2 linked regions of the Lepisosteus oculatus genome follow. The protein of the gene in region 1 binds, or shares a complex with, the protein of each later gene. Links are inferred from orthologs where the notes say so. Each region holds a gene or a part of one and is shown on either strand. Other genes may lie near its edges.

What was found.
Region 2: the proteins of bmpr1aa (region 1) and gdf5 are in contact, whole or in part, in a crystal structure (PDB 3QB4), measured with the Homo sapiens proteins. The link is inferred for Lepisosteus oculatus from reciprocal best matches to the Homo sapiens genes BMPR1A and GDF5. Residues at the interface, in NP_001393490.1 of Homo sapiens: Gly65, His66, Cys67, Pro68, Ile77, Thr78, Phe83, Ile85, Glu87, Cys100, Met101, Lys102, Glu104, Gly105, Phe108, Gln109, Asp112, Ser113, Lys115, Ala116, Gln117, Arg120, Ile122; in NP_000548.2 of Homo sapiens: Arg399, Phe435, Pro436, Leu437, Ser439, His440, Glu442, Pro443, Asn445, Val448, Ile449, Leu452, Ser455, Met456, Pro458.

Annotation. Positions count from the first base shown.
Region 1 is NC_090699.1:46,324,230-46,339,374, reverse strand, and holds the start of bmpr1aa (bone morphogenetic protein receptor, type IAa), read right to left. Parts: upstream 5,933-15,145; 5' UTR 5,717-5,932; intron 5,647-5,716; exon of another isoform or gene 4,799-5,646; intron 4,665-4,798; exon of another isoform or gene 4,641-4,664; intron 1-4,640. UniProt on the Homo sapiens protein: On ligand binding, forms a receptor complex consisting of two type II and two type I transmembrane serine/threonine kinases.
Region 2 is NC_090711.1:208,420-223,701, forward strand, and holds gdf5 (growth/differentiation factor 5), read right to left. Parts: upstream 6,323-15,282; 5' UTR 6,111-6,322; coding exon 6,005-6,110; intron 2,963-6,004; coding exon 2,100-2,962; 3' UTR 996-2,099; downstream 1-995. UniProt on the Homo sapiens protein: Growth factor involved in bone and cartilage formation. During cartilage development regulates differentiation of chondrogenic tissue through two pathways.

The sequences.
Region 1 (15,145 bases):
AGACAGCCATTATTCCTCTGATGAAGTGGAGAAAATACATTTTTCACAAAAGGCGTAATGAAGGACTACACTTCCAACTTTAAAGATCCAGTCCCTGTAAAGGAATGCTACAGTACTCATCTCAATTTATAAGGCAGGAGTACTGTATCTGAGCCCATTATTATAAAGCACTGTTGTATAGAATAAGTCCTCCACATAGCTTTAGTGGTGCTGAATTAGCTAAAAGGCCACCTGATCCTGATTTTGCAATCATTTTTTGTTTATCCAGAGAGTATTGAAAATGCTTTAATGATTGTAGCTATAAGTTACATAATACCTATGTTTTATATAATTATACAGACTAAAGTTAACTTTTTTTAGTCTTTCATCATCACGCTTTCTTCTGCAATTTGTGACAGCCCATTATACCTCTCTGCAATATCACAGCTGGGTAATCCATTCCTTTTTCTGTGTTAAATTTGTTGGTAATTAATCTGTTCCACATTTTCTATTTAATTCCATCTAGATTTATAGAATCATATTTTTAAACCTTATCAATGCTGAATGTGAACCCCCATCACTGAAAACTTCTGCAACTGACAGACAAGATAACCACAAAATGAAATTACTTAAAGCTCTGTGTAATATTTAAAGAAACCATAAAGCACAACTTATCAGAACGTAAACCACTTGTTGCTCCGGAACACCACACATTTGTGGTATCCAAAGGTCAGGAATCAACATCTCGTTTCTTTTCTACAAGCTGCATACTAAAAGAATACTGAACAACTTAAAAGATGGCAAAGCTGTGCTTATTTATATAAAGGACCCTGTGAGTACACAGGTACAGTCATCTACACCACTGATGTCACATTTAAAAAAACTTGAGACTTAATGCAGCAAACAACCATTCTGCTTTGATCTATATACATACATCCAGACTTTATAAAGCCACACTTCTCACGACAACATTCCTGTATTTCAAATTGCATTTCTCCTTCATGGCTTTTTGTTCAGCTTCAGTTTGAGCACTGACCGACCAACAGACACTGGCCTGGGTTTTCAAGAATGGCAAAGAAAAAAATGGTTGGTTTCACAGCACTGCTACTGAGCTCCTCAAAAACAGGGACAAGAAGGGTGACAACCAGCATAGCAACTGCTAACAGCAGAGCCAGTATTGGGGGATTAGGAACAGGAAGTGGGAAGAATGCCCCAATGTGTGCTTTTAAAAAAACAAGGGCAAATGGCTAAAGCGGCAGTAAAGCCAATTACTGTTAATTACTAAAAATGACACCCAGAATGCTCCTCAAGAGACAAGGACTTTCAGACCACAGTCCACACACTGTTACAAAACCTACTATTGCACATTCACAGATTCTGATGCTGGGTACAGAATCAGACCCCAGCAATTTCATGTGCAGAATGAGAGTATCACACAATTCCCTTAGAAACTATTTCTTTAGTTTGAGACTTAATTACACAATATAATTTTTTGAATGTTTTAATGTTCAAATACTTGACTGTAATAGTCTGTGTAGGACCCAGAAAAACAATAGTAAAATGTCTGAGGAAAAGGCATTAACTAACAAGGTTAGAATTTATAAATTTTTTAAATTATCTTCCACATTTCAAAACCAAAATACCTGAAAAGCACTAAAAAAGTAAAAAATATTTTAAAATCATGGTGATCCTTTTTTTCCTGGCACAAGTTCCAATTTAAGGACTTTAGCACTAATTTAGTAAAAGCAAGAGAACGCCTCACAAATTATCAAAGACTGATGCAGAGGGAAACGTGGCCTTAACACAGCCATATTGCTGCTAAAATGGTCAAGAACTGCATTTGCCTTGAATGGAATTAGCATTGCATCATTGGTAAAATGCACAAATGACACCAAAATCGGCACAAATTAAGGTTAAAGGCTTGGAATCAGCAAGCATTTCGAACAGTATGAATACGCTCCTGACTGGAAGGTCCCGAGTTCAATCCGAGGTAGAGTCAAGCACTGTAGCTTGCTTGAATATCTTCCAGACGGCTCCCAGGTCCACTCAGCCTGCTTTCCAAATGAGTACCGGGGGTTAATGCTTCCGGGGGTAATAGGCCAGCTGGGGGGTGGTGCTGGCCGCATCACCCCCACCTCCAGTGTCGGATGGTCGAGAAAAATGGTGGCCCTTGCCCTCCCATTCCCCATGGGCCTTTATTGCCTGAAAAGGGACCTACCTACGAAGTGTTCTATAGTACAGTACAGATTCGAACCCCTCATATAACTCCCACCTCCTCTCCCAACATGAAGAAGAGTACCACTGAGTAACCAAGAGCTGCAAAGAACTGCACAGTTTTAGAGATGATGAGATGATTGACTCCTGCTCAGAGCACCATCAGAGGTCACACTTGTGTTCTACCAGTGACAACCCTCTCCACTTCAGAGAGCCACGTCTTCTTCACAAGTTAACGTGCGCTGGCAGAAGAACTTCATAGGGCTTTATGCACCATTGCTGCTGCCTAGGAATGCTAAACAAATCTTGCATGTGCACTTGTGCAGCTCAGGGACTATGCCAGCCTTCCGCAATCATTTTTAGTGACTTGTTTTAATCTTCATACAATTCTAGTGCTACTTTCACATCCCCTCTGGACTGCTAAAGCAGCTGTTGAACAGCTCGATGCTCATGGTGATCCTCATTACATTTACCATATCATAAAACTGTGAGTGCTGAACAATTTGCATTGCTATTAGTCTGACACAGGGCACAATTTTTTTAACTGCGCCTATGCTGGCACCACTCCCCAAATGTGAAAAACTACTTTCTGTGCCTTACTAAACCTGCACTGTTCTTTATTGATCTGACCTAATCCCAGATTTCACTCCAATAGGCAGCACATTATATACAAGTCATGTTTGAACTGGAGGCCTTAACCTCCCCCACCACCTCCTATCATGTGTGGAACCTTTTGCACAGCACCTTTTTTTCCCCTGTTCTAAGGCACTGTAATGCAGGTCAGGACCATTACTCACAGCCATGGCAGCTCATACACTAATCACCGGGACACACCACGTAAATAATCAGGCACACGAATGACTAATTTGTAATAGAATAATTTTTAAACGGAAGCTCATGTAAAAGCAACAAATATTCCAGACTATAAAAAGCCATTAAAACTTTTTTGTTGGAATACCTGAAGCAGGCCTCACCCGAGCCCTTCAACTGTCTTGCTCTGTGTTTCTGCTCCCAGATACTCGGCTGTGTTATTTTTGTAACAGAGAACCCAGAGTAAGCTGCGGAATGCACAGCTGTCTGGCATGTGTTTAATGTTAGTCTTTATATTCCATTTCGTGAAAAAAGGAAACTTTCTGCACCCCTTCCCCACTTTCTAGAGGCTTTCAAACCAGACATTTCCACATTCAGCATTTCCATCTGTTTTCTGACCTCCCTCCATTCTGCTGCTCTCCCTTCAGCTCAAGAAAAACAGTCCCCCACCACTAAATTAAAAGCAGCTTTGCTCTCTGATCACCAAGCATGGACAGCTCCAACCAGACAGACACTCCGGCAAGCAAAGGCCTCCAAGACAAAATGCAGAACTGACATTTTGCCTAGAAAAATTCAAACTAATGGCAGGACTATCAAGCCGGGATTGTGAGTGCATATCTGGAAGCAAAGAAGAATGTTACCTGGTTTAAAGGCAAATGTCAATGTTCTCCCTCCAACTGAACAAGCCACTCATTTTTAGAATTGTTTTTCCAGTAACCCAGACTTCTGCTTCGTTATCCATTTGTTAAAATGTGAGGCTTTATTTGGGATACACGAATAGCACAGAAATCAAATGATTTTAATTCTAACTGCAAATTTACACATATTGAAAATGTGTTCATTCAGACATGATTTGACAAGAAACTACATCTAGTGTCATGTATTTAGAAATGTTACAGTAAACAGAACACATCTAATAAATAGCTTTAAACGGCAAATGGATTTCAGTTAAAGTACCTCCAAAACCAGACTGCTCAAAGAGAAACTAGCTACAGTGGCCCCTTTGATGTACTCACATTCACATAACGGGCATTTTAAGAAAAAGGTCAGCTGAGAAAAACAGAAAAACAGCTGAGACTACTTGCAAAACAGCTTCTGCAAACACTAAACCACCTGAAAATAAAAACACAGAACCGTAAACACTGATCATACACGATTTAACGGTATAAACCCCCAACAAAACAAGACCGAAGATAAAGGAGAGACGCTTTACAAACGATTGATAAAGTGCTGCTTGATGAGGACGGTGCATAAAAAGCACCATGACTGAGCAGGCAGAGAGAAACAGAGCTGGGCTATTCCACACGCTTTTCGCAACACACTCTGGGTGCCAGATGAAGAATCTAGGGAGGCTTAACCTTCTGTTTTATGTTAACAGTAATTGTCTTGATCCTTATCAGTAAAATGTTTTTCTTCACGGGACGAACTATTCGCAAACTGGAGAGGTAACTTCAGAACGGCGCTGCTCAGGCAGAGGGTTGAGCCCCTGCCGCTGTGTCCGATCAGAGCTGTGTCCACTCGCATGCGCATTCACACCGCACCTAGGATGTTTACAAGCAATCATGGCAAAATACAACAATCTTCCTGTTGCAGTTCGCTCATGTGTATCGTAATTAAACTGTCTGCGGTCAACATACCCCCAATCAGACACCTGTGGCCAGCTGTGCGGAGCACCGCCAGTCCAGTTTCCTCCAGGTGCCCCAGAAGGGCTCCCGAGTTGAAGGGCACTGCTCACAAGAACTGAACGCCCAACCCACACGCTCGGGCAGCTGTGCACCTGGATACAGATTATTACCTTGTAATAATAATCATGACGCGCACGTAAGACATTGCTCCCTCACGACTGAGGTTCTCCGGAATAATCCTGGGGTCCGATAAGCAGCTTCAATAACCACCATGTTGAAATACATCAGAGATGTTGGACGCTTCAGTCCAAGAAGTTGTCCAAAACTTTCACTGAGTTGTAACGCAGCTCGGCCCGGAAGGAGCCGGGACTGTGGGGTCTGGTGGGAACGCTTTGCGCCGCTTATTCAGACAGTCCGCTCTCCTCCATCTTTGGGCAGCCGCGCTCGCTGGGCCCCACAGGCCACGGGCAGCTGCTCCTCGGCTCCGGCCGGGCGCACGGCGCTCTCTCCCACCTCGGCGCTCACCGCACGCTGGAGAGGCAGCGCAGCGTGCGGCCGTCATCTTGAGGAGCCATACGCACACAGTTCAGGAGTCATTTCGGGCTGATACATCGCTGCGCTGGCGAGTTCCTTCGCTACGTACATCGTTTATTTCGTCCAGGTGTTTACACTAGCCAAAATTAAGTTTAAAAAAAAAATACAGCACCAAACAAAAACACAGTGGGGACTATTTATAGAAGCCTGATCCATATTGCGTATCACTAGGATACCGTGTTATTTCCAAACCCCATTACTGCCTCCGGAATGCGTTAAAATAAGAAGAATCATCTACAATTGAAGCCTTTTTTTCGTCAACAAGGACAAGCGGGAAGGCCAAAGTCGATTGCGGTTGGCCACAAAGCGCCCAGCCACTTTCTCAGAGGCGGCTGTAGCGAAGTCAGGTATTTCAAACCATCCTCCACCGTGGACCGCAGCCACAACCCGAGCCCTCTCGGAGCGGCCGGGGACACCTCAACTGACTCAGCAGCAGTCAACTTTCCCCCGCCGCCGAGCAGCCACGGCGAGACGCGGGAATCAAGCTCACCTACCTGAAGAGGCGAGCCCAGCTGCTGCGCGGAACCAGCTCCTTTCGGCGTCGAGTGAAACTTCGCGTCTCTGATAATCTCGCGGCGCGGCGGCACGCGTCTCCCGTGCTGTCTCGGGGTTCTCTGTCCCTCGGTAGCTACGCAGCCCTCCCCCTCGCGCCGCCCGTCTCTCCCGGCGACGCATTCCTGCGCGAGCTTGCTCCCGGCCCAGCCCTCCAATCACTGCGCTCCAGACCTCGCGCCGCGCAGGGAACGCCGCCACCTGGTGAGAGACCTGCACAGGTTCTCAGAGGAAGCGGAAGGAAAGGGTCGAATCTGCGGTATTACAAATTGTGATTCATACACAAACTCATCCTTTCACACAAACTGAAGTCACACAAAAACATCAGTGATGACAAGCCCATTTAAACTCGGGAGCGGCCAGAGGAGAGAGAATGGATTTTCTGCTTTGTCGTTTTCTATTTCATGTTGCAAATTAGACCTGTATGAAAAGAACGTTTCTGTGCATTTTACCTTTTTTTCTGCATGTTTTCTCTGATCTCAAAATGTTTTAATTACGTTACATAAGTATATATATATAATTGTCGATTTTTGAAGGGTTATTGTATACATTTTCAGTTGCTACAGATGGAGATCATACAAATATGCCTTAAAAACAATGTGACTAACTAGCCGATTCTCAGAGATGAGAATGACACTGTATCCGAAACACTCACAATGAGCGATTTTTCCTCCTGAAGATGTCCAATCATTACATTTCAGGCAGCACTCCTGTCTGACAGCAGTTCTGAAACTCAGACATGAGTACGTGACTAATACTTTTACAGATCCCAGCTGACCTAACAAGAGCTGAGAGCAAACCTCCAGGACCATCCTACAGAACCACTGGTTTATCCATCCCTCCATTTTCTAACATCTTTATCCCAGGGGTCCCAGGGGAGTCGGGGCCCATCCCAGAAAGCAATGGGCTCAAGACGGTATACACTGTGGACAGGACACCAGTCCATCACAGGGCACACTCACACTCACACTCACACTCACACTCGCCCCAGGACCAGTTTCTTACAGAAGCCAATTAAAGTGGAGGCTCATAGTCTGTCATGGAAAGTGTCACTGCCATCCTGTCCATCCTGTTCCTTATCCACAACTTCTACTCCAAACTTTATAACTCATATTTATAACTTATATACGGAAGTGAAAAACGAAGAAATTCAGTATTTTACCTCAAAGCTAGAAAACTTTTGAGCAAAGAAGATGGGAAATTGCTAGGAGACCTAAAGCATGCAATGGAAAACTTACAGGAGGGGAAAGCTAACGAATTTCATTGCACCTGTTTGGATCTGCTCAAACACTGGCTATGGCAACTGTATCAGTAAGCTTCAAGGTACACTAGGATTGTTGCCTGCCTCTCTAAGGGAAAGCACCATCTCTCTTGTGTAAGGAGAGAAAAATGACATTGAGAACTGGAGACCTCTCACTCTGTTAGGTTTGGACGCTAAGGTCCTGTCCAAGACCCCTTTCCTTTACCTACAAATGGCAGAGGCATCACTAATAGGGGAAAAACAGACTTATGGGATACCAGAACGCCTAATGAGTGACAACCTGGCCTTGTTGGGGGGATGTCTGTCTGTACTCAGAGGACCTTTCCCTCCCCTTGTGCATTTTAGGGATAGACCTGGAAAAGGCATTTGACTGCTTAAACAAACAGCACCTAAAAACTGTATTAGAACAAATGAACTTTGGCCCCATTTTTAGATCATGGTATAACCTGCTAGAAATAGATACTGTAGAAGATAGAAACAGTAGCATCCTAGTGCATGGTTAAGTATCTTTTAAAGTCTCTTTTTTTCTGCCTATTATCTCCTCTGATAAGTTTACTATCTATGGAGCCCATAGCCTGTACTTTACGTCAGGATAGAGCCGTTAAAGGATATCAGACTTGGACAACTAGTGGGGATGTAGAGTTCTTGTCTGGGAGCTAACTGTGGAAAAGGTGTCAACCATATTCCTAATCCAGTTTTTAAAACCACATACCCCAGGGCACCTTGTAGTATTAATTGTGTATGAGTGCATAGCCTTATATTACTGCATCTTAAATGAAAACTTCCCTGTAGTGTGTTCTCTGTATTACTGCCAATTAGAGCTAAAAGGTGAAAAGATTCTAACAGTGAACATTACAGAGACACTCCAATGACTGCTGGCTTTGTTATTGGTAGTAGGGGGATGTGCGAATGTAGATTTGATCTACCCAATTTGTTCTCATTTTGAATATGGAACACAGGGCACCATTCAATTCACAGACCCTCCAAAAATAAAAGATTTCTCAGAAAGAATCTTTATTTTTTTTATTTCTTGCAGAAATTGTTCTGGAGTTTATACTGGCTGTTGAAACATGACTTTCCCAGTTGTGCAGTGTATAAGTTGAATCAGGCTCAAGGACTTAAGAAAGTCATCCACAGTTGCTTCTGCAGATGGTAGTACAATACAGTGACAATATTGCATTATAACAGTTCTGCACTAAGGCTAAGATGTCTGGGACATAAGAACATCAAGGTTAGAGATAAGTGAGTCTATTTTGATCAGGTTTGCTTGCAGTCTATTGTATTCACAACTGAAGAGATTCAGTTATTTCTGCCTGTTAGTCATCTTTAAACTCCAGAATGTGTGTGGTGCCTCTTCTCTGGGCTGATGCCAGAGTGATACAAATTGAGCAGTAATAAATAGCCCTGTATTGTATAATTTCAACACAACATCCCTTGATTTAAATTCTACACCTTTAACCATTTATCCTATTTTTTTCCTTTTGTTATTGCTTCCCCATACTGTCTAGAAGATGTGAAGGGTGTGTCAACATAAACACTGAAATCATTTAAATTTTGTCTGAAGTAGTGTTTTCGATCTCGATCTTTACCTGGATTACAAGTGTAATGCACATGTCTGCATTAAATCTGGCATCTGCCAAGTTCTTGGCTGGTCCTGAATTGGCCTAGATCGTCAGGAGCCACAGGGAGTGTGTGGGATGTCAATGAGATAATGAGGACAAGATTCTTTGTATCCCAACTGGGCAATCCTGGGCTCTGCATAGTCATTCAGCCAGCTGAAATCAGAATCCTCTAATCACTTCTGGCTTTAGCATTAGTACAGTGAGGCTTGACCAAGGGCTCTTTCTCTCATAAGTCAGAGGGATGTTGGGTTTGTGTCAAATGTAACTCTTTGCACTTGGACAACAACATTTTCAATTTCGTCTTGTCTGACCACAAAAATCTTTGCCTCATGTTTGCAGTATCACTCAGGTGCTTTGTTGCCAAATCCATGTGACATTGGAGATGTTTTTTCAGTCCGTTACAAATCCATTTGTGTTGCAGGTGGGGTATTGTTCCCTTATGGACATTTTCTTTTATGTCAGCCACTGAATTATGTAACTCTTGATGATGCTGTTGGCTTCAATGATTCCTCCTTGCCAAGGCTGCTCAGTTCAGAGGTCAGTTTTCCTGATCTGGGAAGTGTCTTCCACTTCTTAATGATTGACCTCTGCATGCTCACAGAGAAATTAAGAGGCTTTGAAATGTTTTTATACTTCTCTTCCAATCTGTGCCTTTACACTACTTTGTTATGGAGTTGTTCTGCAACTTGCAGAGACAGGTATGTTTATTCTGAAATCATCTGAACCACTATTATTGCACTCAGACAAAGGCCACTTAAACTAATTAATTTTGGTTTCTACAGTAAAGGGTTTGAATATTTATGCAATCATGACTTTTACATTGTTTTCCATATAATCTATTTAGCTGCTGTGTGGTGAGTGTACTGTGCGCACTATGGCTGCCATCGCATTATCCAGGTGGTGCTACACATTGGTGGTGGTGGAGGGGAGTCCCCATTGCCACGGAGTATGTCACGATCATAATCCCTCCTCTTAAGGGCACTCCGGCTCTTTCTTATTTTGCTAATTATGTGCACCTGACCCCAATCCTGCCCCTCCTTATTAAATCCGGGCGCTCTTGCTACTCCCGGCTCTGCATTGGAAGACGGACGCCCGTCTTGACTACCATCAAGTTGCCCTACGCCCGCGGCTTGAGGGCATTGGCCTCCTATCGGCGTCCTGACCCAGCTGAGTCCGGGGGTCAGAGCGCCTGGCCTCGTCATGCTGTTTTCATTCCCTGTCCCTGTACTGGATCAACGTTCCAGTTTTTAACTCTGTTTTGTCCTGTCTCGGTTGGGTCACCCGGTTTTGGACTTTTGGACTTCGCTCCGGATTTTACCCCCTGGACTCCTTGAACTTGTTCGCCCTGGCTATGCCCCGAGCACCAGTTCACCATTGTCACGCCCCCCTGTCTGTCAACCCCTCCTGATCCTCGCCGTCTCCTCCCTGTTGTCCACTTATATCCGGATTATACCGTCTGTATATTGTCCTGAACTACGCATTGTTACAGAGTGTCCAGAAAAGTGTAGGGAATTATTATTATTATTTACTTCTTTCTTTTTGTGTTTTCCTTTGAATGTGTAATGTTCTAGAATTACTTGGTTTGGTTTTGTGGCCCTTTCGTGTGGATGGATGCTACAGTAGCAATCTAAAAGGATTGTGTTCCTGTACCTGAAGGCTCATTTTGATGTGCAGTGCTACTTCTCCCTCTGTTCCATGTTTCCTCTCTCTCCAGATTGCTGTGTGTCCACTTGTGCTGAACTTTACCAGCGCTCTCCATCAGTCCTGGTTCTGAGGATCCAGTTCCGTTCTGAAACACATGAACCACCACTACCACATAGACAGAGGTCACAATTCATTGTGAAGCTCATTAAGGTAATTTTGTGCAACTTAATTTAGGTTTGCAGCAGCAAAGGATTTGAATACTTATACAATCATGACTTTTTCATTTTCCTTTCATATTATCAATATACTTGTTTTTGTTTGTTGCATTGGATATGTGGAGTAGATTGTGTATATAGCAAATAATAATTCCTACTTCAAAATGTCATAACTTCAAGCTTTAAAGGCAACAGAATGTGAAAACTGTGTGAGGCACTGTATTAGGAATTTAGTCTTTCAAAATTCTCTGAAATACAATGTGCAGTAAATGAAATCAGCCCACACTTCTTTTAAATGTAAGAACATTAAGTAAAGTTTCAGGAAATAAGAGAATACTTGGGCTCTCTCAACAACAGTCACACAGTCATTCTGAGCATTGTCTTCTGTCCATGTATAATATGCCTCTGAGATGAGAAGGTGTCTGGTCTGTCTTCGAGCTGTTTTCAGGACAGCATTGGGATATTTATTATTACTTTGGTTGATTCTGCCAACCTTTGACGTAAAGTTTGGTTCTGCAGGTGGTGCTCTGGGATTCTGGACATGAAGTCCAAGCCGGGTCTAATCAGCACAGGTGCACAAAACCAAACAAGACTCGAAAAGGAAACTGAAAAAGTCCAGACAGTGCCAAATATTAAGAGTGACCGGGTTCAAAATGAGGAGAAAAATAACACCAACTGTTTTCCTTTATTCCATAGCCAACAGGCTTCCTTGAACTTTAGGTGGGAATAAGGGAAATGCCTCTTCCCTCTGAGGTCCAAAATAGAACCAAGCCCAGCTGGATCATTGCCAACCTTTCATCTGTCTCAGGCAACAACTGTTAAAGGGTTAATAACCATTAAGCAAACATTAACCAATTATGTACAACATAAGGTGATACCATGCTGAAAAGAGAAGAAAGAAAACACAACGTTTCGGCTGTGGAGCCTTCTTCAGGTGTCCGAAATGTTGTCTTTTTTTCTTCTCCTTTCAGCATGGAATAAACCTATTACTTGTTCCTTTGCAGCCAACGCATGCTGACGCAGCTACCCACCTGAACCATAAGGTGATACTCTGTATAAATACCTACATTGCCTTTCCAGACTATATACTGTATTTATCAGTAATGTATTTGTTATAGTATGTACCTGCCTGTATGGAGAATCCTCTCTGAGCCTGCGGATGGCGCTATGGGAAAAGGCGGGTAGCTGGCCCAGTCGCCACCTAGGTGACTACTTCATTTTTCTGTGTCTGTGATTGGAGTGAAAGCACCCACTGAGAGGCTCCCCATCACACCTTCTCCAACCTTTCCAGTGATCAGATCACCTCTCAGGTGATTGATAATGACAGGTGTCAAGATATACAGTCCTTCGCAAGTCGCTCAACTGGTTCAAAAGCTCTGTAATGATTTCCAAGGTGACTTGTCTCTCCAGGATCCATTTGATGGCTAACCTCTCCAACTCAATTACAAAGGAACAAGCCTCTTGGGCACTTACTGTTCTGCCCCCTTCTCTCCTTCAACAGTAAAAGGGTGCAGTAAAGGCTGGGCTGTGCAGCACTGGGTTACTGCTGATAAGGATCTGTAGATTTAAAAAAGGAACCATAAACCTATGGCATTAAAAATGCATCTGGGAAGAATGCATACGAGCATCTACAAACAAGTGTTTTTGGCTCATCTAGCCCATTTGGTTGTTAAGGGATGATTGATCTCATCCAAGAATGTGGCTGGGTAGGTTGTTCCACACTCCCACAACCCTTTATGTAATTAAGTGCATCCTGTTCTCACTGCACTTTCCATTCATGTCCTCTTGTTCAGTGTTTCACTGTTCATTCTGATGCAGTCCAGGCTGACTCTGCCAATACCTTTGAGGATTCTGAATGATTGTGTCCAGTCCCTTTATCTCTTAGGCCCAGTAACACATCTGATTCTTCTTCGTGCATCTGCTTGTTTTTCACTTTCCTATAAGATGGTAACCAAAATTGTACACAGTGTAAATAAGACTTTTCTAGTGTGATACACAATTATAACATCTATCCATCCATTTTTTAACTGCTTTATCCAATTCATGGTCACAGGGGAGCTGGAGCCTACCTTCACAAGCAATGGGCACAAGATAGAAAACACCCTGATTGGGACACCAGTCCATCACAAAGCACACCACACAAACACAGACACACAAACTTTCCCAGAAGCCAATTAACCATCCAGTATGTGTTTACACTGTAAGTCCCAGCGTTTGAAAATTGCAGGTGAATAGCTCAGCGCTCATTGGGTGGGCGGACTGTTCTTCCTCCGCCTCCTCCTCCCCTGTAGGGAGTCATCGGGAGGCAGGAAATACAGAAACTATCAGCAATTTCAAATTTGGTGGGTACAAAATGAATAATTAAAAATGAACCTCATTAGGAACAGAGCCTCCAGCTTGCAGTCTTGGTCGAGAGTATGTAAATCTCCTTGGGTTTCTTAGAGTCACTCATCATCTGGGCCATCCAGCCCCAGCACCTTCCTATCACAGCAGCCCCAAGGCTGCAAGTACTAACTGGTGTTCCTTCGGTGCTAAATAAAAGACAGACTCATTTTTTTTTCCAGAACTGTTACTTTTTTACTGGAGACAAATCATTTCCACCCATGCGTTCTTGTGTAACATGCAGATATTAAATACAGGAGCTTCCAGTTTACTACAGTGAGGAACAATGTTTCAAATAAAAACATACCAACAGTAAACTCTGTAATGGTATTTCTGCTCTGGTGTCAAGAGTGAAACAATCAGAAAGAAGTGCTACTCAGCTCTCACAGTAAAAGTCCCTGCAGGCAAAGGGAAATGATAGAAACCTTTATCACAGTGAAAGACACACAGAGAATTAGAAAAGCTTTTACAATACAAAAGAACCAGCAGGTACATCAACGTCTTTGCTGACAGGCAGACAATACCTTTAAGTTTAACATCTTACTCATCAGTTCTATTTACAAGAGTAAATTTGTTGTTTTCCCCCACCAATAGATAGAAGGAAAAACCATCTACCACCAGTACAGTCGTGAACTCTACTGCCATCACATCATCCCTGTGCTGCCAGTATTCCCTTTTCCCTTTAGCTCCTTCTTCCAAACCATTACTGTGGATCAAATTGCTGGACCGCCAGCCCACACAGGCAAAATAATGGCCAAGTCAACAGCCAGACACAGTAGGATTGATTGTTGTGTTGTGATTATGATTTCACTCCTGTAACTGGCTAGGGGTCTGACTTTTGTTGCCCTTATGCTGAGCTTTAAAAAGCACATATAATGTTATCAGAAGTCTGAAGAGGGTTTAACACTTGATCTTAACTTGGTCTTAACATGTGTAAAGCATCTACAATGGTATTTTAGTACTGGTGTTTTTTGTGAGTATGTTAAAATGTGGCAATTCCTGTAATATTTAAACATGGAGAACACAGAGCTCCTGTCCTAGTGAAACAAGAACACCAGCACACAAGGTAATTGTTCAGATGTCTCACAACCCCTCTCTGCCCAGGTACAGTATATATATCAGCATTCGGCATCAGTCCTTTCTACAATGCTGTGTCCGTGCCTGCTTTGTTCTGTGTGTGATGTTACTTCCAAGGCATCACTGTTTGAAACAACAGAATTCAGTATTTTGTACGTAAAGCTAATTTGTAGGTATCTTTTCTCCATTCAAAACAAATAAAATCGTGCATCGTGAGATTCCCACCTCACAGCAAAACACCTCACTTATACAAAACATTACTAAATTACTATTTGAGATGCTAGATAAACTAGATAATAATAGTAATAAATAAAAAATAAATCATTCCTAATCTTTCCACACAGTCCATGCCAAAAAACAGTAAATGAACTCAAAAACATTATTAAAGAACACAATCACAATGCAAAGGCCATTTTTGGTAAATTCTTGTGTTTAAAAAAACAAACAAAAAAGATCCAATAAATTAAACTTAAGAGAGTGAAAATCACTGCATGCCATGAGAACTGATGTTATCATGCTAACATCAGCACAGCAGCACACATCCCATATTGAACAGCTGCTGAACCATATCAATTTCAAACTTGAAATAATAACTTTAAATATAAGCAGTGTGTACAAATTGTGTAAACGGACACCTGAGGGACCAGAATAAAGTATGAAGAAAATTTTTAAAACAAAAATGTTGAAAGGACCAGTCAAGTCCAAGAAACAAATCCAAAGTGGCCAGTTCTGTTTAAAATCCAAGGATGGGAAAGAAGAACATTGACTAGAGCACCAAGGCACAAGCATACACAAGGAGGAGAGACACACAGGAATGGGAGAGACCCAGCACCAGGGCAGAGACACACAGGAGGAGAGACACATCACCGGGGCAGAGACACACAGGAATAGGAGAGACCCAACAGCAGGGCAGAGACACACAGGAATAGGAAAGACCCAGCAGCAGGGCAGAGACACACAGAAGGAGAGACCCAGCACCAGGGCAAAGACACACAGGGGGAGAGACCCAGCAGCAGGGCAGAGACACACAGGAGGAGAGACCCAGCACCAGGGCAGAGACACACAGGAGGAAAGACCCAGCACCAGGGCAGAGACACACAGGAAGAGAGACCCAGCACCAGGGCAGAGACACAGGAGGAGAGACCCAGGAGCAGGGCAGAAACACACAAG
Region 2 (15,282 bases), on another chromosome or scaffold:
TAAATATTTTAGATAGTCTCACTGTCCAGTGATCTAAGTTTGGGTTTGGAGTTTTACTACAAGTTATTAATAAAGTAACCTTGAGGTATCTTAACATAAATTAACACTTAATACATGTATTTTATGCGCTCCATCGAATGTACTCCCCCTGAATTCTTTACACTCACCAATACTAACACTTTTTTTTTCAAAATGTTCTCAGATTTTATCCTAAGACATCATCAATCAGAATTCTTAAATAGTTAACACTTGCCTTTTAACATTTTACCATATCACATATAGTAAGCCTAAGACTACATTATTTCCTAGCCCTAATTCTAATTCAACTCTGGGTTTGCCATTATACTAAATAATTGACTTATCTTTTCATTTTATATGGATATTATCTTTCTAAAACAGTTCCCAGGATCCACTGAAGAGCAGTTCCCTATTCTGATTAATCAGTTTGTATTAATTATCTAAGCAGGGAAACTGGACCGCTAACTTGCTCATAGTCTTCTTGAACTAGGTTCAGTCTCCTGGCTGCAAAAGAGCTGGATGAGCCAGGCTAAAGTTTATTATGTTCTTATAGCTTTCTGTTTCCCAGGGAATCCAATGTCCTAAGTCTTCACAACCTCTGGGACCAGTGTCCAAACCTAGTGTCCATAGGGCACTGAACAGGGAAGGCAATACAAGCAATTTAGCAGAATAAAGCACATCTCACCCAACAGCCACAGATGTCAAATGTGGATGTCTTGTCCTTCTCAACCACAAAGCTGTGAGAGAAATGTTCTCCATATCAATATACTGTTAGGCCGGTGGGAGAATTTCTGCTATGGAGAAAGGGATGGGGAAGGCACTTCACAACTCAGGCATCTTTTGCACTATGACTAAAGACATTCCTATACTAAACCCAGTAGGATTCTCATACGTAAGTGAGTTTCATGCAATTTACTAGAGTAACTGTGAAGTAAAAAAGCTGTAAAAATGCAATAACATATCAACAATTGCATTTGTTGTATTTAGAATTTACTGGAAAACATGTATTTTAGTGAATCAACTTGTGTCGTTGTAAATGAAAAAAAACCCACAAACTCTTCCAAAATGCAGCCAACAGCAATAATAATATGGTTATTGAACTGTCAAAAAAACACTTGGATTTAGGGCATACTAGTACACAATTATTAAACTCACATAAGGAAAATTCATTAACAACTACTGCAATATTTTTATTCTTTCCTTGTTGTGTAACATTGTAAAAAAGAAAAAAGAAACCAGCTGACAATTTTGAGAAGGGAGACAATATTTAACAGCAGCTCAGAGAAAACAAACAAGACAGATCAGTGTTGACCTACAAGACAGAGCAGGAGGGTCCACACTGTGTGAGAAGACCAGGAGATCTTCCATAGGAACAGTTTCATCCATATTTGCATTGCAAGAATGTCACCGGTGAGCTGATCACATTGTAAATTTTACAAGGACAACACTTTTTATTAAAATGATGGTCTGTAATCTGTATTAAAATATCACTTCATTTCATTCAAACAAGTATAAATATATAAACATTGAATTCTGAAGTTTACATCTTCTAATATATGTTGTATTAACAATGCTCTACAATACTGTTATCTACTGTTTTCAACATAAGGACTGAGGGCAGATTTGCAGGATTGTAACCGCAAAAGCATGTGTGGTTGCAACAGCCAATGGTTATTCCTGTTAGGGTATTAAGATTCTTAATTTGATCAGTTCAAAAGAGTATCAGAAAGTCCTTGTCTGCACAGGAATAGGAGGAGGCTAACACGGCTGATTCAGAAAAGAATACAAAGTTACTCAGCCACTTCTTGGTCTGGGAAATATGAAACATTCCAGTTACTGTGCTTATCCCGATGGGCCAGAGAAACACATTCAAAAGGAAACATTCTGAAACACTTTGGGTTACATTTTGACTTTGGTATGCCCTCATTTTTATGGAATTATTTAACTTCCTGAAAGCTATCCAAGGCGCTCAAGACACATGGTGTGGTGCCCTGACGACAGCTACAAGCCAGCAATCGCTTCTCTCAGTCTTTCTGAGTCCTGGGTGAAAGGGAGCATGTTCCCTGACAGGGCTGGCGTTGCTACCTGCAGCCACACGTCTCCACAACCATGTCCTCGTACTGTTTGTAGACCACATTGTTGGCAGAGTCAATGTAGAGGATGCTGATGGGACTCAGTCGGGTGGGCACACAGCAGGTAGGGGGAGTGGAGTCGGGGTCCATTGAGTTCATGAGTGTCTGGATGATGGCGTGGTTGGTGGGCTCCAGGTGGGAGCGAATGGGGAAGTCACACACCCCGTCACAGTGATAGGCCTCATACTCCAGCGGGGCAATAATCCAGTCATCCCAGCCCATCTCCTTGAAGTTGACATGAAGGGGCTTCCTGTTGCAGCGCGGCTTGGGGTTCTTCGTCAGCTTCTTGGCGCGGGAGGCGGGGGCTCTTCTCATCCTCCTCTGGGTGACCAGGTACTCGTACACTGTCTTGTTGTCATGGCCGGACCTAGCTTTGATCTCATTGTAAAACAGGTCTCGTCTCTTGGTCCTGCTGAAGACCAGGAAGAAAGCTTTCTCCTTGGCCTGCCTGCCGAGCCGGCTGAACCCCAGGCTCCTCAAGTCCACCGGCCGACCCCTGTCAGAGGCCTCCAGCTCGAAGCAGAGCTGGACCACGTTCTTGAAGTTCCGGAACAGTTTCCAGATATCAAACACCTCCCACTTAGGCACATCACGGTCCTCAATGCTGCGAGAGTGGAGAAGAGATGCCTTCTGTTTGCCAGTCTGACAGGTGAAGATCTTGAGAGTGAACAGCCCCCCTGTTGATCGAGCCTTCCTTGGGTCAGACGGCCTCTTCCGAAGAATGCGCAGCTCAGCTCCCAGCACGCCCTCCTTCTCCAGGGAGCTGATGTTAAAGTAGTACTTTTGTCTCCTCAACAGAGGGAGGCGGTCATCTGCAAGAGGCAAAGAGATTAACGTGTAAGAAATGTAGGACATTTAATCAATGGGGATACACTAAAACTCAGTACTAGTAGTCATTTGCTTCTATGGCTCTTTTTCCTCTTTATGACCAGCAAAGAGGAAAGTCTGCCAGACTGCAATCTTGACAAGGAAAAGCACAACTACTTTTTTTTAACTTAAAAGTTAGTAACTCAAAGAGATTAAAAAATGAAGTTAAGAAATTACTTTTTAAACTGGTCAAACAATTAAAATCGATGACATCATGTTAAAGCAATGGCCAGTGATACACTGAAGTATTTGGATTCTTGAGGATCAGACTGGACATTCACCATCTCCTTGTTTTCTCTAGGTTTAAACATTTTGGGTAATCAGCAACATACTGAAAAGAAACTAGGTGAAGTCTATGTGACTGATAGGCTTACCAGGCAGAGCTAGAAATCATTATAGAATAAGAGAGCATTACAATAAAAACATTTTTGACACAAATTGATTGTTTTATGTGTCTGAACTCATACAGCAGAATGAATCTATGTGTACATATTCAGCTCCCTTACGCTCTGTATTTGCTGTTCATCAGTGTTTCTCTGGAATACATTTGGACTTACGGTCTATAACTTGGACAATGCACAGTGATGCAAACATACAGTAAAGCTTAAATTAAGTTGAAGTGAGGGAAGAATGTATAGTATTTCAAGGAGTCATATCTCATCATTCATACCACCCAGCAAACAACTGTGAGTTTATTACAAGATTAAATACGACACACTTTATATTTGTTATTTTTTCCAACAGCACCACAAGCAAAAAATTATAAATATCATGCCAGAAATCTACCACAAAACATATGCATACATACAAAATACAATACAAATTGATAAATGGCTTCATATGTATGCTATTAACACAGAACAAACTTTTCCTTCATGACATTTAGAACATTTGAGCAGTTCGTCTTTTTCTGAGTTTGAGATTTATGGTCTAACACAATGCAAGATTTAGTCACACACTGAAAGGTCAGGCCTAAAATGTACAAAAGACAACTTGTATAAATACAGCTCAAATTAAAACTACATTAACCACTCGAAATGTAAACATTTAACGGCTATGAATATTAAACAAACATTGTTTAACATTCTTTTAAATTGTTTTACTTGGTAAAGAAAAAACAATACATTAAGGAGGCCACCTACCCCAATGCGATATGTTTGTTTAGTTTTCAAAGGCCAGACACTGAGCCAGCAAGGGCCACAGGAGTGACATTGTGTCACCTGGAAGCAGCACCTGGGGGCAGGGGGCTGTTCGAGTGCTGGAGGAGCATTTCTGCCTCAAATAATGAAGAACAAGCACTCGGGATCTCTGGAGGGCTGCGGTGTGTTTTAAAAACGATCACATATATTATATACATATGTGTGCGAGAGAGTGGGGTGCGTGCCAGAAGAGCGGCGATGCTTTGGGGACGGTAAGAAACAACTGTGGAAATCTGAAACAAGTTTCTGTCCGAACCCAACAGTGAATAAAAACCTGAAATTCACTCATTTTTCATGAAAAGCCATTCGTTGACAAGCATTTCTGTTTTCATTGATACACGGACGTTTGTTTTCCACAAGACACCACCAAAGGTTTGGCAAACTACGTAGCTTGTCATCGCTTGTCAGAGGCTGGGAAAATGTGAGCCCTGTGCAGTTTATTTAATGTACGCTACTGACGGTCGAACATTAAATGGTTCTATCAGAGGGATTAGGTACAAAATGCGGGTTTAACTCTGCGATTGAGGGTCTCTAGAGAAGCGTGCTTTCTCAGTTTTGGCCCAAGTTCCCTTCATGCCATTCTATACGAAGGGAATTGTAGCGGAACCTTCCTGAGTTGTTTAAATTAAATTGCATGTGGAGGCAATAAATTGACAGTTCTTTGACTTCAGCCAGTTACAGTAAGCAGCACCAATTTACTGTAATACAATTACGAAAAAGAAGGAAAAACATTAGCTCAGGTCCAACAAGATGTTGGCTTGCGTACTGGTTAACCACGCTAGCTGTGTAATTATGCATAATACTGAAACAGGGACGTATAAGGGTGAAGCAATCGCAGTCCAAGACGCTTCAGTAGCGCTCGGCTCCGTGACTCAAAGCTTTACAGCAGAACCGCTACGAACAGACTTATCGTAAGACTAAAAACGTCCACATCCGCGGCCAAATTTATGAATGAACAACGTGTTTATCAAAGGCAGAATCTATAATATAAACTAAAGGTACTTTCGAAGTTTCCGGTGTGCTGTATTTATTGCAGAAATAGTGTTGGCGATACCAATTTTTCAATTAAACACTCGTTCACCCTGTTGAGTCGGTAATGCGGTGCAGATTTGAACAAGCCGCAGGATCTGACCTGAGAGCCTTTGTGTCTGGAAAGTAAATGCAATTCAAATCACCTCTGCGAACGGAACCCCAATACAGTCTCTGTCCTGTAGTGGACAATCTCAAGTCAGTGTAAACGGTAATCTCCACAGAATAATGAATGTTTTCGTCCAGACTGTTTAATTATTAGTTAAGGACCATCATGTATATTTATATTTCATTGCCCCAAAATTCGTTACCTTTAACTTGTATATTAAAAATCTACAATAAATAGCATCATTGATACTGCTGATTTTATTGGAATATGGCAACGTTTCTCAATATCAGTCTCCCACTGTATTAACAGAAGGACACACATTGATGTAGTGATGATGAAGCTCATTTCTAAGCATGAAGGGTTGTCGCAATAATTAAACTGATACTGGATGATGATGATGATTTCATCGGACAGCTGCTCTTTGGAATCAAGAAATAGCAAGTCGATATTAAATGTCTTCCGTTAGAATTAAAATAAGTCTTAGAAAATACCTGTAAATTCTGATGTTCAAGTTCAACTACAGTATGTTTTTAAAACTGAATGTATCTTAATTTCGTTACATAAGCACACATACCTGCACAATGTATTATTAACAGCAGCAGTAGCAGCAGCAGCTGCAGTCACAGTAGAACATGTATACATTGTTTTACCTTGGCCCTTGTCCACGAAGCTGGTGATGGTGTTGGCTATCCCTGCCTCCTGGAGCGCGCTGCTGTTCACCTCGCCCGTGGACAGTGTCCAGTACAGGGACAGCATGTAGTCGTGGGGCGTCACCAGGGGGTGCGTGGAGAAGTCCCTGGGGCTCGCAGACTGGCCAGGCAGCGCTTTGGAGCTCCTCTGCGCTAGCGGGGAGCCTTGCTTTCGACTACCCGCTTTGTGCTGTTGCCCAGTTCTCGCAGGAACCGTGACAGTTTCGGGGACTGCCCGTGTTTTGCTCCCCAGCGGCGAGCTGGTGCCAGTGAGCGCGATTTGCGCGGGCACCCAGGAGCGAGCCGCTTCTTTTCTACCTAAATGAATTGCCCCTCCTGGGACGCCGTGTGCTGTCACTGCAGTCGCGGCTTTCGCCTTGGACGTGTCGCCCTTTATCAGTGGCTGTCCAGATCTGATTCGAGTGATCCGAGCTCCGTTCGAGGGTGCTCGCGTCCCTGAACCATGACTCCCCACCATCAAATTAGCGGGACCCCTAGACAGAGGGGCTCCTTCCTTTCCACCAGTCCTGCGACCTTCTAGCCTGCTCACAGATGCACTGTGTGCGGTCCCAGTCGGGCTCAAGGCCGCTGGGACGAAATCCAGGTATAGCACAGTCCAGCACCCCAATAAAAGAGGGAGACGTTTCAGTATTTTCATCCTCTGAACTTCCTTTGAATCTCAGCGAGAAAGAAATCTCCGCAGGTTCTTCCAGTCTTAAATAAGAAAACATGAACGAGCTTGCAAAAGCGCAACAGCAGACCCGAATTAAGTTTTCTTTGGACAATCAAGCTTAGCAAACCGTTTTCTCCAGCTCTGCTATTCAGAACCATAGTGATACGAATCGCTTGCTCCTTGTTCTGTTTTCCAAAGAGAGAGCAATCCGGGGAAACGGTTTGCATTGAAAGGAGAAGCTCGACTTCCCTTAAACTCCTGTAATTCTGCCCGATATCTTGTAGGAGACTTGTTTAAATCCCAGTTTTTCCAAGAGGGGAGAATGGCGTAATGCTGCCGCTGAAAAAAAAGTCTTTTTTTTTTCTCCAAAGTTTTGAACGTCGTCCAGTGAAAATATTTCACACACAGAAACCTGCAGGTGCTCAGAAATCTTTACAAACCTGAACTCAGGAATTGGAAACGGAATTCCAACAAAAACCAATTTAATTACTCTCTGATGTCATGCTGTCCAAACTAATTTAAGTGCAATATATTTCTTTTAAAATCTTCTTTGCTCTTTCCACAGCTATGAGTCATGCTCTACATGAAAAAAGCCACTAAGACCAATTCTTTGCATTATGTCATTTAAAGAAGCCGTTTACTTAAGTCCATAATATTTCTTTAAACAAAAGGGTTAAGAGGCTAAGACAGAAATGTGCGTTTTAAATTTCTAAACTGTAAATCTTTTAAGTTATAAATGGAAAGTGCAGGTACAATAATATATTGCCCTATATGCTGTAACTATGTCCCACTTAGACTATTTAATTTGAAACATTGGGATGAAATATAATTTTAAGGTTAGACTTTGTAGCCGCAAATTTTTACATTTTTTATGAGAAGTGAACAGAAAAAAAATGCATCTTTTCAGGAAGCCTGATTGCCATCATGTGTTTTAAACACCTTTTTCTCTCAACCTAATTCGCGGGATATTCGGCTTCTATTTGCTCACATTACTGGTAAACAGGGCCCTCAGGATTTTGTGCTCATCTGTCAAAGCAAAAAAAAAACTCAGTCAGCCTGCCAATGCTGTACCTCAGCTGATGCAAGTCAGAGGAAAGTGTGTCAATACCAAATACACTCTGAACAGTCAAACAACCTGACTTGACATGGGAGACACCTCCATGTAAAAAGTAGTATGCTTATTATTTTACATGAAAGAGAAAATAATTGAAAGAAAAACTGAGACCAGAAATCCATTCCCTACACACATTAGGACAGACATATGAGGCACGGGGATATCTGATCGGTGCTGGAATACTCTGGTCTGCCTGACATGTCAGGCTCTGAGCTCCGTGATGCCATTTGTACGTTCAGCGGCCCAGGTTCAGAGTCCTGACATTGTCTCTCACTCCCTCATTACCCTGCTTGGGTTCTCTCCCAGGGGCAACCACTGCTGCATGGATTTACAGCGCTATAAAGTCTCCGGTTTTAAGTCATGTCATAAATATAACAGACTGTGCAGTAGAAATAATTAATTGACAGAAATCACTGTTGAAAATTGGAAGGTTGTCGTGTTTCCTGTGGTTTGTGTAAAACAACATATGTTGGCTTTTTTGGGGGGAGGGGGGTGATTTTTTCTGCTTTTATTTAAATGTTCATTGACTTAACTCTGCAGAACTGAAATTAGAATACCTCAAAACAATAAGCTCACTTAGCGCTCAAGAGCTGCTGTAATAGAATTACTAAGCTTGTTGGGAGACGTCAAGCTTGTTTTCTCAGTAAGGTGTCCCCTCTTCTTCTCCAGTTCTTTCCAGTGAAGATCCAGCACTCTTGCTTGTCACCAGTCAGTGCGCCTCTTGGCCATGATGTACTGTAGTTATGGTGCAGATTTTTCTTTTAAGAATTTTTTGTTTGTGTGGTTTATCCTACTGAGATTTTTATAGTCTGTCAATTGACTCCTATTCTCTCATCCACATATTTTAACAATTAGAGAACTCTCCTGCCAGCTCTCTAAACTGACTGCAGCCCATTGAACAGGCCAAGCCTTCAGAATTCTCTGTGTGAGAATCAGTCACAAGTGATTATATACCTACAAATTACAGGCAATCAGAAAGCTGTTTCCACTGTAGAAATTTACTAATTAATTGCAGATTGAATGTTTCAGTAGCACTGTGCATAACAATTACGGGGCAAATGCAGGATAAGATTTACAGTTGAAGTGATCACACTTTTTCTTCTATCAAAAAGCCCTCTTACCTCACAGAGACATAGAATGCCTGGGGTGACCCCTATTTTATCTCTTGATTTATCCCAGCAGAACAAGATAGTGACAGTCTTTTTAATCAGATTTCAATCAGATTAATAATATTTTTTTAATCTCATCCCCACTAATGACTGCTTAAAAAATGTAACCAGATACTACAAAAAAAGTGTTTCTTCAAAAAAGTTAACTTTAAATGTTTTGTTTTATTTTTTAGAATGAAAATGACAATATGTATGATAATCATTATCACAATCTTTCTCTGGATTTTAAAAAAAATCTTACTAATACATTTGGCATTGTCCAGATTTTATGTTTTTATCAGACATATTCCAATATTAAGCGTTCTGAGTAATTTCCCCATTAACACATATGAAGTGTTTTGGATCTCCCCCGTGTTTCAGTGCAGAACAGACCAGGACGTCCTGCAATGAGATGGCAGACTACTGAAGTGGGTCGCCTTAATGCCAAATAAAGTGTCACTAGATTAGCCATATTCCATTAAGATACATTGACAAGGAGAATCAAATCACTGATGATCACAGCTGTGCTGGTCTGACTTTGGATGGCTCTTGATATGATCTGATACTTATCTAGGAGCAAATATTTACAGTTCTTTCTCCAGTGTTTGCCTACCCTCAGCATTGCTACATTGCAGCCTTCCAGAGAATACTTCTGTGACAAATATAAATGTTCTAAATGCTGTGAACATTTTAGAAATACTAAGAAAAGTAAATTAATTAATAACCTATAGATGTCAGGAGTGTTCTGTTTCTGGCCACCTCCTACTGCTTGTTTAAAACTGACATAAGATTGCAACACTAGATCCATTCATTCTCTCTCTTCCTTGAAACCTATTCCAGCATTGCATTATGCATTACTCGATGAACATCTTTCACTCTTTTCATTGTGCAATTCAATGTGTTTTTAAAACAGTCTTCAATTTGCAATAGACCATCATACTTTTCACTTTCTCATGGTCCCCTTTACATTCATAACGGTCTAGTTTCACTGAAAACAGTTGAACTGCTACTGTCACTGTTAGTCTGTTTGTAAATATTAAATAATAGCTCACTCATGAAAGACTTCCTTTGCTTCGAAAAGGCTGCTTTTCTCCCTTTCTCTGACAAACTCCTGCTCTGCAGCTCTGAGACACAAGCTCTCACCTCTGCTCCCGACCTCCCTGTGCTAGTGAACATCTCCAGAGGTAATGGGGTCACTGTTCCCATTTTCCAACCCTTTCTCTCCATCTCCTCTATCATTCTGTGTGAGCTGTACCTTAAAGATAGATTTTTATATGTCATGAGGCCAAGATAGGTTGAATATTCTCCTCCTGTCTGCTATCTGTCTTATATTCCGCTCTTGAAAAGCGCTCCTATTGCAAATTTCAAATGAATTTAATGTTATATCCACCCTCTAAGCAGTGTAGTATTCTGGTCATCCACTAGGTGGCAGAGATGTTAAAGTCCTCGTTGAATGACACACCCTGCTTCCAATGGTCAGGTGTGGAATCTTTGTGAGGCGCAGCCGTTCTCTGTGGCGATGGAGCCCAAGAGTTCCCCTGTGATGGGAGTTCTTCTCTGCTGAAGCAAAGGCCAGAGGGATTGTTGCCCACAGAGCCTGTGACATGCGTTTGGTGCAGAGCAAGATCACATACTTGTGGAACAGCCCAGGTTTTGTCATCTAAGCAGTGAAATTCTTAGTATTGAGGGTCTATAATTAGCCATGTTTGGTAGTTAGCTCTCTAAAAAGTTGCATATTATACACTGTGTCCTGTTCCACAGCTAGCAATAACATAAGAAAGGACACATTCAAGAGTTGGCCACTGCACCCATCTTACCTATTTGGTTCTGATTTGATAATTAATCTGTCCCAGTACCCCCATCCAAATAATTCTTGAAATACCATAACAGTTAATTTCAACAAAAGATTGATTAGATTGATCTAGACACTTACTACTCTTTGTATAAAGACAACTTTGGAAATAAATCACATGAGGTTTCATTCTGTTGGCAGAAGAAAGAACCCCCCATGTAGATTTTCATTTATGTTTGATTCACACGGAATGTTTTGTTGAACCCTTGCTTAAGAGTATCAGGAAATTTCATTGCAATGTGCTGAATATGCTTTGTTTGTTACATTTAACTAGAGTGACCCTCAGACCTGCCAGAACATCAGCTGGGATGGTTCTGATTTCAAGTACTAGAAGATTCCAGTCATTCTTGTATTTTACATCCAAAGGAAACAAAGTAGTGCTGGTAACTGTACTGCTGTGCATTGGGCTCTACAGAAAATGCATGAACAATACCTTTAGGTCAGCTATAATGTTCTGAAATTGATTTAAACATGAGCACCAGTAAGTTACAGTAGCACTGTGGAGCAGTGGTTAGCTTTGATACCTTGCAGTGCTGGGGTCCTTGGTTCAATTCCAAACCTGGGTGCTATCTGTGTGGAGTTTCTCCAAGAGCCCCAGTTTCTTCCTGCTATCCAAAGACATACTGGCAGGCTAATTGACTTCTGGGAAAATGAGCCCTAGTGTGTGTCTGTGTCTGTGTGTGGCCTGGATGGACTAGCATCCTGTCCAGGGTGTATCCTGCCTTCCACCCATTGCTTGCTGGGATAGGCTCTGAATTGGATGAAGTAGTTAGGAAATGAATTGATGGATCAGCACTAATGCCTCTTTAAGACAGTTTCTAGAATTTCTCATCCTATAGCTATCCAATGTATTACACATAGAGAACTACAGTATAGTCTTTCATCTCATATTTACAGTGCAACATTTTGTTTATTTTGAAGTAGGCAACAAGACGATGTTCTGTAGCAGATACTCTTCTGAGCAGTAACATAACAGTAACTTCAGTTCATTTTTTAACTGAAACTAGTCTGCATTCCATTTATTTATGATTAATTATAGTTATTAGAAATAGCATCTTAAAATTAATAATATCTAAATAGCAAAAGTAATATATCTGCATGCAACAATGGACCTTTTGTTAGTAACATGTAAATTATCATTAATATCCAGGTCAATTAGCTGCTACCTAAAGTACTAGATGGCTCAAATGGCCTCCTCGCATTTGAAACCTTTCTTGCGTTTTTACAGCATCTTAACTTTTCTTATTTATATTTTTCTCTTACTAGGATAGAGGTTAAAACTTCACCATTTAAAATCATGAAAATCTTGGCATGATCAGGCAGAAGAGAATAGTGCTAGCTATTAGGCAGATAGTGTTAACTATCTGCAAATGAGAGAGTCCCCTTTGGTTTTTAGATTAATTATTGGAGTAGCTTCAGCTCTGCAGCTAGCAGACATTAGGCAGCATTGGTACACTGTACTCTCATGAGCAGTCCAACCTGGCAGGTGCTCAGGACACAGGTTAGAAAAAACTTTAGTCTGTTCTTCTCTGACATGTTTTTTTACGTCCTGGTCCCTGGAAACTCTTGGCCCATGGTGTTTCATCAGATTCTATTTGGAAATGTTTTGTAAGACCATGTATCAAGGATTTGAACTTGTATCATGTTGTTTGGGGTGGTTTTTATGAGATGAACGTAGACAGAATTAAATAAGAAATTAATCAACTCAACATTGAAATTAGAAGCTGTAGGTTTCCAGGAGTCCTGAAGAGGACATAGATCTGTCATGGAACTTGTAATCTGCACAATAAGAGGTGGGTCTAATTTTCGGTTTCACCTGGGTCCTTGTTATCTCTGCCTGCTGAAGAAGAAGAAGCTACAAGCAGCCTGCTGTAGTTCTGCTGCTCTGGCTCTGGCTTCAGAGGGAGTCTGGAGAAGAAAGAAGTCTCTATATCTGAGCCATGTTGTTCCACCTGAACTGCAGGTGTTTGCTTTGCGTGCCTGTGGCTTTGAGTGGTTAGGCTCCATTCATCTTAAATTCGGGATGGAAATGTTTGTGTTTTTTTTTCAGCAGCTGTGAAAGTCTTAGCATCTTGTCAGAGTTCCTTAGCATTTTCCGTCATTTGCTTTTCCTCATTTTTAGGGCCCTTTCTCAGTTATAATAAACTAATGTTTCAAGTCGGCATGCAATTGCATTAATCCTTCTGAAAAGAATGGAAAAGAGTGAAAAGGCCCATGGTAGCAGTCGTTCCAGGAGCAAACGTTGAAAACAGGGTTTAGAGAATGGCACAGTGCATCAGAACTAGTGAGGAAAAACCAAAAGGAGTTTATAAACTTTACACTCTAATACTCTGTTGGATGGATGATACATATTGGTATTAAACATTACCCCCTAGTCTTCAAAGGGTTTCAGGCAAGGTAAACATGCATCTGACAGCACTAAAAAATCTTCCAATGTGTCTAAAGTTGACAAAATGAACAAACTGTATGTGTGCTCTTTAAAAAAACTTGCTAGCCAGTTATGACTCATTTCTTTATTTTACCAGATAAGTCACTGAGAACAGATTTTCATTTCCTCTGCCAGTCTGGAGATGCTTTTAGGTTACAGTTAGAGTTCGGGTCAGGAAAAGAAAGTCGAATCACCAAAGAATCAAAGCAGATCCAATCTTGCACTTTTATGTTGTCCGTTCAGATGATCCTATTTATCACAAGGATGTGTCTTGACACCTTCTATAGGGTGAAGGGTAACCTGAGAGAGGGATTTCTGGGCCTTTTCCTTTAGATTCACGTTGGTCTTTAGGCCTTGGCCTCGTCTGGCAGAGCTGCCCAGACGCCATTACCTCCAAGGTTGCAGAGCCGGTCCGCGATCTCCTTCCCACAGCGCCTCCCAGAAGCTGTTTGCAATTCTGCAGTGCCGTTTTTTCTCCTGACGCCATGACTGCTCTCTGCGCATAGGCCCTAAATTACTGAGTGTGGGGACTGTATTTAGTTTATTTTTGTGAGGATACATTTCCTAGCAATCAGTGCCAGGCACAATATTATTCTGGAAATATACAGGTATTAACCGATAGATTTAAGATGATAAAATAAACCAATGTGCTGGCGATTGGCATGGAAGAACAGAACTGGGATTGTGAATGGTCTCTTTAATGAAGCCTATGAATGAAACTCAACCACTAATAATTACCACCACACCCAATAACTCCAGGTGATTCACACCCCTTCATTTGTCTTTGTTGTTTTGTTTTGGGTAACCTTTCAAGCAATTTTCTGCATGTCTGTCCAGCAGGAGCTGTGACTTGTGTCTTTATACACTGCACAGACAGAAACAAAGTTAAAGACAGCAGCTGCTGGTTTAAAATTATCCGTTTTTGTTCAGAAAGGCAATAATTCCTGGAACAGAGAACAGTAAGATATGCAGTGTTTTAGAACAAGAACAGAGGTCTGCTTTTAGCCAAGAAACAGCATTAGCCTTGGCAATTACTCATATAGAATTCCTTAGACAGACAGACAGATAGAAAAAAGGTGGCAGTATTCATTCCTACCTTTCGATGTAATGTGATAGCTCAAAGCTAGTGAGTAATACTGTCTGAAATTCAAATATTCAAAGCATGCAAAATACAAATACACTGACCAGTTCAATCTCTAATTAGTGTAGCATGACCTGGCAGGCAAAAACAGAGTTATGGCATATTAAATTACTAATGATAATTATGCACATGTAGCATTTCCCTGCTTGTGAAAAGATGATGTCATTGTTATTTCCATTCATTTGTGGGGCTTTCATTCTATTCAAATAATCTCGATTATCTCTCACACTCCAGAAAAGACTCCTGCAGAGAATCCTGCAGTAAATAGACATTACACTCTTCATTTTTAAAGTAATAGCAGATTAACCCAACCCTGTCATTACGGCACAGCTTATACCCTTGGCTGTTAATCTTGACAAAACACAGAAGCTGAGATATGACAATGTTAACTGCCTGCAGAGCTGCCTCACAGCTGAACAAATACCAGTGCAATTATCAAATAATTTGGTTTCTTTTTTATCACTATGAGATTAATATATCCCAGGGTCAGCCCTTATTTTTCGGATAAGGTTTCTATGCTTTAAAGTGACAGCAGTGGCTGAAAACGGGAATTATGAAAGTGTGAAAGATTCAGCAAATCACCAATGCCGTAACATGAACCTGTCAGTATCACATCCTACAGGACTGCTTGATTACTCTCAGCCTGCGGGATGACCTGCACTCGTCTGGGATATGTTCCACTGTTTGTTTTATTCCCTGCTTTTCTCGCCCTGCTTTACTCTGCCAATTCTGTCTGCATTTTTTGAATTTTTCTTCAAACACAGGTCAGGATTGAAGAGGCACCTTTGGCTGAGCCCAGCGTGTCACCTGAGCAAGTCCCAGCCCTGCCGAAATCATGAGAGCCTGGTGACAGTAAGTGTTCAAACCATTTAACTGTAGGACT